Chlamydomonas reinhardtii: one gene and its partner. The protein of the gene in region 1 binds, or shares a complex with, the protein of each later gene. Links are inferred from orthologs where the notes say so. Each region holds a gene or a part of one and is shown on either strand. Other genes may lie near its edges.

Region 1 (4,341 bases):
CCACGCCTTCCATTTAGTCAGTTATCAACGGAGCGCTTGTCTCTGGGATCTGCGGTGGCCCATGCTCACTCACTTCTCCTTACAGCGGGAGCACTCAAAGAACTGTATGCTTTCCCAAACTCGGACGGGGCCGCCTCGCACAACTGTGCCGTTCACATACAGCAGCTGGTGCAGCTGCGAGCAGCCCAGGCGAGCTAAGGGCGGTCGCATGGGACTCGGGTGTGGGTCCAGCGAGGTGGGCAGCGACACCAGCCGCACGTGCACGTTGTCGCACACGTTCAGAGCGCACTGCACCGGAAGCAGCTGCCCTGCTCCGCCGCCCACAGCTGCCGCTGCTTGCTGCCCCTCCATTCCCTGCTCAATGGCTGACTTCATCTCCTGCAGAGTTAACAACAAGAGATCTGAAGGTAAGCGCGCGCACTGCGACTCAGGAGGAGGGCACACCCACAGCCTCACACCCCCAAGCTTCTCATACCCCGTGCTCTCCGGGCCGAACGCTGCGTTCATGTTGTCAGCCATACCAACCAGCTGGGCAGGGATTGTCGCCTCATCGAGCAGTGTTAAGACCTCCAAAGGACGAGCGTACAGACCCGCTGCAAGCTGCAAGCGGCAGCGATTGCAGTTAAAGGTACACCATGCCATATCAGGCACCCTTGCTCAGCCGTCGCACGCTTGCCAACGCACCTCTGGCTCATGGTTGGCAAGCGCGATAGCAGACAGTGGCAACGCCAAATGCTCCTCTCCAGGTGCATTGCATCGTAGGATGCGCTCAAGGTCCTGCGAATGGGACGGCCGGCTCCATTAAACGCGCGCGCACATGCGCAAGCCGCGCGCGCACATGCGGACATGCCACTCGATCAAGGGCAAGACGATGGTGCGTCTAGTGCTGCTCTTAGCGCACAGTACAGATCCACGGAGGGAGTTCCATTGGCGTCCGCATACCTGCGCGCAGCAGTGGAGCAGAACGCGGACAGCGGCTGCCCGCATCGACTCCATGCTGGGCTGGCACACTACCCAACAGCCCTAGGGCCCTGCAGCTACCATGGGAATTAAGTATTGGTCTGATCACTCAACGAGATTTAGGAAGACAGAGCGAGAGGCCTCGCAGGCTCAGAGTCAGAGCCTGTTCTCAGCTGTCGGCGAGGGTATTAATACAGCAAGCTGGTACTTTATGTATGCGATTTACATAAAATGGCTTTGTGTGGTGTGCGCGCTGTTCCCTAACTTTCGGTCGGGCGCCATGCGGAGCAGTTCCGCTGTGGAACTGCATGCTCCAACTCGCAGGACTGCCAGGCCCCAGTCTAAACGCGACCGTATACTGACTTTTGGGTTAGGCTCTCATTGCCTTATCCTATAGCAGGACTCGTTCGCGCGCTCTTCAGGGGCCGCTCTTCGCGGCCACGATGGCCGACGTAGCGATTGACGTTGGCAACTGCTGCAAGAGGCTTAAAAAGCTGTATGAGAACTGGACGGTGAGGAGGAGCTATCAGCATTTTAAAATTGCTCGGAGATCCCTTTGCACTCGTCATTGAAGGGATGCTTCATTAGCATGCGAAATATTGTACAAGCAGATATAGATCTATGGAGCAATGTTGGCATGCCCGCGCAGACTCAGCAAGATGGCGTCTGGGCTGGCGCGAACGTACTCGCGGTGGCCGTGGGCGCGCCATCAGAGGACCTGCGGTACCTCAAGTCAAACTCATTGCATATGTGGCTGTTTGGCTATGAGCTGCCAGGTGGGGCGGCAGTGTCCAGTGTCGGGGGCGGGGTGAGGGGTTTTGCGGGTTGCCCCTTGTGCGCCTGCCTGTCGGCCCCGCCCGTTACCATCTTGGCGCTTGCCGAGACGCCACTAACCGGATTATTCCGTACCTATGCAGAGACGGTCATGCTGTTTACGAATAACCGCGTGCACGTTCTGACCAGCCAAAAGAAGGGTAAGGAACACGGACACCGCTGGTCGGGTCCCGAAGGATGCAGCTTGCATGAGCGTGCAGGGGATGAAGCTTGGTGTTGCATGTAATGGATGGTCTGTAAATGTGTGCTGGGCTATGGGCGATAGCCTCACGGTGCTCATGTGCTGTTCCCGGTGTCCGTATAGCCTCTCTGCTGCAACCGGTGGTGGAGGCTTGCGAGAAGGGCGAGGCTGGGGACGTTCGCGTGGAGGTGCTCGTCAAGCCAAAGGCGGAGGATGGAGCAGGCCAGGTGTGTACTTGATAGCCGGGCGCTGGCGACTTCGTGGCTTTCAAGAGCCGGACATCACAACTTCGTTGCGTGGAATAGTTGGCTCGGCACTTTGGAGTGCAGCAGTATACTAACCTTCGACATGAGTGTGTGACTTTGGAGTGCACATAAGATGCTTGCTTGGCAAATTGAGCGCGTTCTGCCGCACGACAACACAGCATCAATGGGTAGGTCTGTGTGTCATGGGTGCAGTGCACCCAACTGCTGGACGCGGCCCGCACCGCTAGCGGCAGCCCCGTGGTGGGCCACCTGCCCAAGGACAAGCACACGGGCAAGTTGATTGACGTGTGGACCAGCGCGATGACGGAAAGCGGCCTGACGCAAGTGGACATCAACAATGGTGTGGCGGACCTGCTGGCGTGCAAGGATGCCAACGAGGTGGGGTTGTTAACGTGGCCACGGGTATCATGTGTCGGGAACACGATGCTTGCACAACGGGGTTTGGGGAAGCTGTTTGCAGCTAGCACCGCGCGTTGCGCCCACTGCTAACGGTGGTTGACCTGTCCGCAGATTCTGAATGTGAAGAAGGCGGCGCTGCTGGCAGCAAAGGCGGTGCAGAACTGGGTGGTGCCCAAGGTGGAGGATGTGGTGGACTCCGGTGAGTGGGGAGCTGGGGACACTGCCATGCGTTGGAGACAGTGTTGTGCAATGCTGGAGGCACGCAAGCTGTCTCTCGAGAGGATTCGATTAAGTGCATTACTCGCCTGACTGCAGGCAAGAAGATGAAGCACAGCAAGCTCAGCGAGATGTGCGAGGAGGTCATCACGGACCCAACCAAGGTGTGAGGGGGCAACATGACTGAGTGCTTATGTTGCCGCGCTTTCCTGCTCCATATGTATCACCCTGCTGTGCCTGCATACCCATGCGCAGGTGCAAGTGAAACTGAAGGCCGAGAACTGCGACATTGCCTACCCGCCCAGTTTCCAGGTGCGTGTGACAAGTGCGGCATGTTTTGCGGTCAGCGGTGCATGCCCCCTGGTTTGCGGCCGCAAACCCGCCTTTGCCGTTTCTTGCAGTCGGGCGGCGTATACGACCTGCGTGTGAGCGCGCCCTCCAACGACAGCCCATTGCACGATGACGGCGTCATTGTGGTGTCACTTGGTAAGGACGGCAGGCATGTGCGGATGCATTCGGGAAGTTTGGGATGCATTAATGGACAAAGAAACGAATGACACTTACCTGCATAAATAGCGCTCAACTCCTTGCACTGCGCACGCAGGCACCCGCTACGCCTCCTACTGCGCCAACATTAGCCGCTCCTACATCATCAACCCCTCCAAGGACCAGACAGCGCAGTACAACGCCCTGCTGGCGGCGCAGGAGGCAGCCATCACCGCGCTGAAGCCTGGGGCTCCACTGACGGCCGCCGGCGAGGCGGTGGTTAACTCGCTCAAGGCTGGCGGCCAGGTAGGCGGCTTACGCGTAGCCCTGCTCTGAGCGCCGTCTAGGGCTGAACTTGCAGCGGCGTAGCTCAGGACTTGAGCGACATGACAACCTGACCGCATGCAATGCCACATGGCTCACTGCTTCTGCAGGAGGCGTTGATTCCGCTGCTATCCCGCAACGTGGGCTTCGGCATGGGCCTGGAGTTCCGGGAGGGCACCCACGTGCTGCCACTCCCGGGCTCAGGCAAGGCCGCCGCGGCGGGAGAGGACGGCGCGCCACGTGTGCGCGCTGGCATGGTGTTTAACGTGTGCCTGGGTGTGGCGGGGCTGACCAATGCGGACGCCAGCGACCCGAAGGCCAAGAACTATGCCCTGCAGGTGATGGTTGGGGCTTCAATGACGCCTTGGCCAGCAATCTGGCCGACCGTACTTGCGCATGAACTTCGGTGGATGTGCACGTCATTGTGCATGCGCCCGTCGGTCATGCAGGTCGCCGACACGATTGTGGTGGTGGATGGCGATCGCCCAAACGAGGTTGCCACTCAGTCCGCCCCCAAGAACTTCGATAAGGTCACCTACACCATTCAGGTGAGCTACAGCTTTCGCCGGGAGTTTGGTATGGTGTTCCTCGTGTGCCTGAGGCAAATAGGGGTGCTAATGAAGTGCACGCATGTAGTACATTAACCGCCATTGCGTCCCTTAACGTCACAGGAGG
Region 2 (4,550 bases), on another chromosome or scaffold:
GCCTGACCGGTTCAGAGCGGAGCTCGCGAGGCCGGTAGCAGCCACATGGCACACAAGTGTATGATGTTGACGGCATGCGCGCTGTTGCATGTGCCGCGAACCGGTTTGACCGGTGCAGCCCCGTTCGCCCGCTCTCGCTCTCTCCCGTCCTACTCCTTGCCCGCCACACGCACCTGGCCCTTGCGGATGGGCGGGTCCAGCGAGATGACCACCAGCGTGTGCGGCGTGTTGTGTTTGGGCAGGATGAAGATGCGCTGGATGGAGGCGTAGCGCACCTTGAAGTCTTGGGACTGCAGGGTTGTGAGGGGTGGCGGGATCGGAATCGTGATGGGATAGCGGGGGCGCATTTGTGGTGCGGTATGCGCAACAATGCCTTCCCGCGGCCCCCGGCATCCCGCCTGCACGCCCTGCTTGAACGTTGAAAATGCCCGTGCCGCTTCTCCCGCAACAAATGACGTTGACCCCTGCTCACGCTTTGCCGCGCAAAACACCTCGCATCCTAGCGCCCCCGAGACTTCCTGCCCCCTCCGCATGTCGCCACCTACTCCTCCGCCATTGCTGCTTCCCTTTTGCCCGCACCCCCGCCACCGCTCTACTGCTTCAGTCCCAACCTTGCAAACCCCCCCGCCATCTTCCCAACATTCCCATGCACGGCCTACACACGCAACCCCGATCTCCGACCCCAGCCCGGCACTCATCTTCCCCTCTCCCCTCCTCCCTCCTCCCTCCCCTCCTCCCCCCCTCCGCTTTCCTCCCTCCCTCCTCCCTCCTCCTTCCTCCCCCCTCCTCCCTCTTCCTCCCATCCTCCCTCCCTCCTCCCTACCCTGCCCTCCCTCCTCCCTCCTCCCCCTCACCTGTCCTCCCAGCTGCAGGTAGCCCAGGTGCATCTCCACTTCGAAGCGGCCGCGGGGCGCCACAATGCCCACCTCGCTGAACACACACACCGGCTCGTCCGCCGCCGCGGCCTCCGTGTCCGCGTGCGGCAGCAGCGCGTCCAGCATGACCTGGGGAGAGGAGGGAGGGAGGGAGGCGGGGCAATGCCGCTCGACATGCCTCCATGGCGTGTTGACAAATCCATAGGGCATCGCGCCCCGACAGGTGTAAGCATTTCCCCCGACTGCTGGCCGCCCGCCCAGCTGCCAATCATGCCCCCACACCCCCACACATACACCCCTCAAGTCGCTCTCACCCCCGGCATTGGCAATGGTTTACATTGGGATTGGAATAACCTAACCACCATCACCCCGTGCCATCCACCCCACCACACACTCACACACACGCCACCCCTCGCCCCCCACCCCCACCCCACACGGCCCGGCCCCACCTTGGCCGGGGGCACCTCCTCGCCCTGCGCCGGGAAGTCCTCATTGCCGGGCGGCACGTAGAAGGCCAGCTCCGTGAGCATGTCCTCCGCCACCTCGCCGCCCGTGTCGTCCACGTGCAGCTCAAGCATCACGTCGTCCTGCAGGTGAGGGGCGGAGCGGGGCGGGGCGCAGGGCGCAGGCTCAGACGCGTGAACGCCGCAGTTCGCTGCCCACCGACCCCTACGCTTTGCAACACACGCACGCGCGCGCTCACTCCCACGCACGCACATACACGCCCACCCACAACGCAGCCCGCTCTTTCCCGTCCCTGTGCTTTACACTACAACGTTCCGCAAACCCACACCACGGCCCATACGGCCATACACGGTCTTGGCATTCTCCTTTCCCATCTTCCTCTCCTCAGTTCCAACGCCCCACTCCTCCCCCCCTCTTCTCCCTCCCTCCCCTCCATCCACCCCACCCCACACGCCGCCCGCCCACCTTGGTCTGCTGCGCCGTGCACACGTCCGGTAGCGGCAGCTCGAACGCCACCTTGCCGCCCACCAGGAAGGCCAGGCTGGCGCCGCGCAGCTGCACGCCGCCCCAGTTGTGGCCGCTGGTGGACAGCGCGCCCTCGCTCACGCCCTCAGGCAGCGCCAGCGTGGTTCGGGAGTACTGCTGCAGCGTGTCCAGATCCTGAAGAGTGTGTTTGTGTGGTGGGGGGGGGGGCGCAGGGGGGTAGCTTATGCAGATGCCAACTAGCCCAAGGCCCGGGACCCAGCCCACAGGTCGCGGGAGTGGTTGCGTATTGTCAAGGAAGGGGAGCACCAAGTAGGGTAGATGAACCAAGCGGCGCAGGGAGGTGCAGAGGCGGTTGTGCAGTTGATACAGGGCAACAACGGACAAGGGAATACGGCTACTAAAGGAGCGGCGGGAGACAGGGAAGAAGGGGTGCAGCAGGCTGCCAAGTCCAAGCGGCGTGGTGCCAAGCGTCTCTGAAGCTGCCGGGCTGCCGACTACTCCCCATGGCGACTGAGCCAATTGGTGCACCACCGCACAGCTCATGCAGCTACCAGCTGTTGGGTTGCCGCCCCGCGTCGGTCCAGGCCCCGGCCGGCCGGCATTGCAGGCCCCGCGTGCCGGACCCGGCCAAGCCCCCTGCACCCGCTCGGCCCCCCGGCAGCGCCGTTAACGCAGCGCACCTTGTCCCTGAACCCCAGGAAGTTCACGGTGGGGCCGCCCTTTCGCCGAACGCTCAGCTGGCAGCCCCGCGGGACTTTAGTCCAGGACAAGGCTTCAATTTCGTCCTTCTTCACCTCAACCAGCTTGCTGCCCTGCTTCCGACGCCATGTCAGCCCGGTAGGAGCAAGCTTCAGGACTCCCGAAGCCTGCGAGTAGCAAACCGGATTGGGATTTCGCGTTGGCGCGCCAGTGCTCGCTCAAGTGCGCCGACGACAGCGCGCCAGTCTGAGCGCTGCTCACCACTCCACCGCGGCCACCAAGCCAGATCTCTCCGAACGCCTGCACGCCTTCGGCCATGGCTGCCGAGGAGGCGCGAGGGCCGCAAACTCAAATGCCAAAGATCGAGCTACGTCGGTCTAGCGTTGTTCCTGGAAAGGTTGGTTGATAGGATTACGTATATCTTCGTAATATAGAATGGCAAGCAGCGGGAGACCAGAGTTCGCCCTTGTTTGGCGCGCCAAGTGCCAACTCAAGCCTAGCTTTAGCAGAACTAGCCTAACGCGTGCCAATCTACAACAAGTTGCTAATTTGTATATTGCAATTTGCTTGTCGGCGGGCGGTCCTGTGCATCGGCGATGCCCATCGGCACGCCCACGCACCACGCACGGCACACGTCCAAAGGGCCCCCGCAAACATGCCATCTCTTGCACATGTTGCTGGCGTGTGCTAGCTCGGGTAATTCATGCGCACACGCAATCTGCTCCTACACCTGGGCCGTGCAGGCCAAGACAACTAGGCCAGTGCTGTGGCGCTGCTGCCAAGGTCCCGCCAGCGCCAGGGCTGCACGAAGCGGTTCACCCATCACGGCCGCCACGCAGCCTGCGCCACGTGCGCTTGCGGATGATACCGTCCAACCTGGGCCTTGTCACATGCAAAGTACGGACAAGTCCTACGCAATGCTGTCGTGTCAAGTGCAACCTCTCCATTCAGCCATGTGCAGGAGTGCAGGACTCCGGCGCCCCCGCTGCCCAGATTGCATTGGTTACAAGAGGGACCTGCTGACGCACTTCACGAGCCAGTGGCGTGGAGAACGAACACCCTGCTCTGGACCCCAGGGGCGTGCCGCCTGCGACGCCGTCGGCCTTCTCTAGCTCTAGTAGGCTCCCTGCCCAGCTGCCGAATCGAAATGCAATGCAAGGAAACGCCCACTCAGTGCCCGCCATGACGTGCAGCTGGTTCAGTCCAACGGAAACCCCGCGCTAGTCCGCGCTTCCAGCGGGCTCGCAAGTCCACCCAGTCCTGTGTTCCTCTCTGACCCGACGCATTGCTGCGCCCCATCACGACCCACATCTCGCCCATGCCATAAATGCTTCACCCTCACCCACAAACACGCACGCTCTTTCAATCTTTCAAAAAGGTTTAAGTCTGTCAGCATCTATGAATGGGGGCCCAGCCTCGCAGCTACCTGCACCCGGCCATGTGTCGCGTTGCAAGCCTTCTCGATGCGCGCACAAACAGCAACGCGGTCAACCCGTAGCTGCGTCTACATTCTGGGCTGTCTCTTCATATGCTCGCTCGCTCGGCCATACGTACACTCACTCAATGCAGTCCGCACGCGACCGCACACCAATGCCACCAAGCTCACCCGGACCACGCATGCATCCTCGCAAGAACTCCTGGAATCACGCCAAAACGGCAAACCTTCCACTCCCTAAACTCCAGTACAATGGCTCACACAATTATGGACATGTCCAGGACTACTGCGGCAGTGCCTGCTGCGGCTGCTGCATCGCTGCCAGCACCCGCTGCACCGCTATCTGCGCCGCCTGCTCCGCCGCCGCTCGAGCTACCTCCTCCAGCGCCGAGCGCTCCACCACCACTAGGCCCGGCGGCAATGACGCCTGCGCCAGCTGCGGCGAGGCCTGTCCGCCGCCGCCCCCTCCTGCACCCAGACTGCCGGAGGCGGCGCCGGACAGCGGCGGCCTGAGCGACGTCCCAACTCCCATCCCAGGAGCAGCGCCGCTAGACGAGCCCCGAGATGGCGCCTGCCTCCCGCTGCCGCTC

The links.
Region 2: CHLRE_12g540076v5 (region 1) and CHLRE_01g029450v5 share a complex: the UniProt entries of both Arabidopsis thaliana proteins name them as parts of the FACT complex. The link is inferred for Chlamydomonas reinhardtii from reciprocal best matches to the Arabidopsis thaliana genes SPT16 and HMG.

Annotation. Positions count from the first base shown.
Region 1 is NC_057015.1:9,488,304-9,492,644, reverse strand, and holds the start of CHLRE_12g540076v5 (uncharacterized protein), read left to right. Parts: upstream 1-1,304; 5' UTR 1,305-1,403; coding exon 1,404-1,472; intron 1,473-1,609; coding exon 1,610-1,736; intron 1,737-1,877; coding exon 1,878-1,934; intron 1,935-2,098; coding exon 2,099-2,202; intron 2,203-2,433; coding exon 2,434-2,619; intron 2,620-2,751; coding exon 2,752-2,839; intron 2,840-2,955; coding exon 2,956-3,020; intron 3,021-3,111; coding exon 3,112-3,168; intron 3,169-3,257; coding exon 3,258-3,342; intron 3,343-3,460; coding exon 3,461-3,648; intron 3,649-3,776; coding exon 3,777-4,004; intron 4,005-4,115; coding exon 4,116-4,214; intron 4,215-4,337; coding exon 4,338-4,341. Other genes in the region: CHLRE_12g540502v5 (uncharacterized protein), read right to left, coding at 70-378, 526-600, 685-777, 943-996. UniProt on the Arabidopsis thaliana protein: Component of the FACT complex, a general chromatin factor that acts to reorganize nucleosomes. The FACT complex is involved in multiple processes that require DNA as a template such as mRNA elongation, DNA replication and DNA repair.
Region 2 is NC_057004.1:4,349,448-4,353,997, reverse strand, and holds the start of CHLRE_01g029450v5 (uncharacterized protein), read right to left. Parts: upstream 3,056-4,550; 5' UTR 2,844-3,055; coding exon 2,787-2,843; intron 2,693-2,786; coding exon 2,507-2,692; intron 2,001-2,506; coding exon 1,806-2,000; intron 1,463-1,805; coding exon 1,325-1,462; intron 1,005-1,324; coding exon 855-1,004; intron 291-854; coding exon 174-290; intron 1-173. Other genes in the region: CHLRE_01g029400v5 (uncharacterized protein), read right to left, coding at 4,244-4,550. UniProt on the Arabidopsis thaliana protein: Component of the FACT complex, a general chromatin factor that acts to reorganize nucleosomes. The FACT complex is involved in multiple processes that require DNA as a template such as mRNA elongation, DNA replication and DNA repair.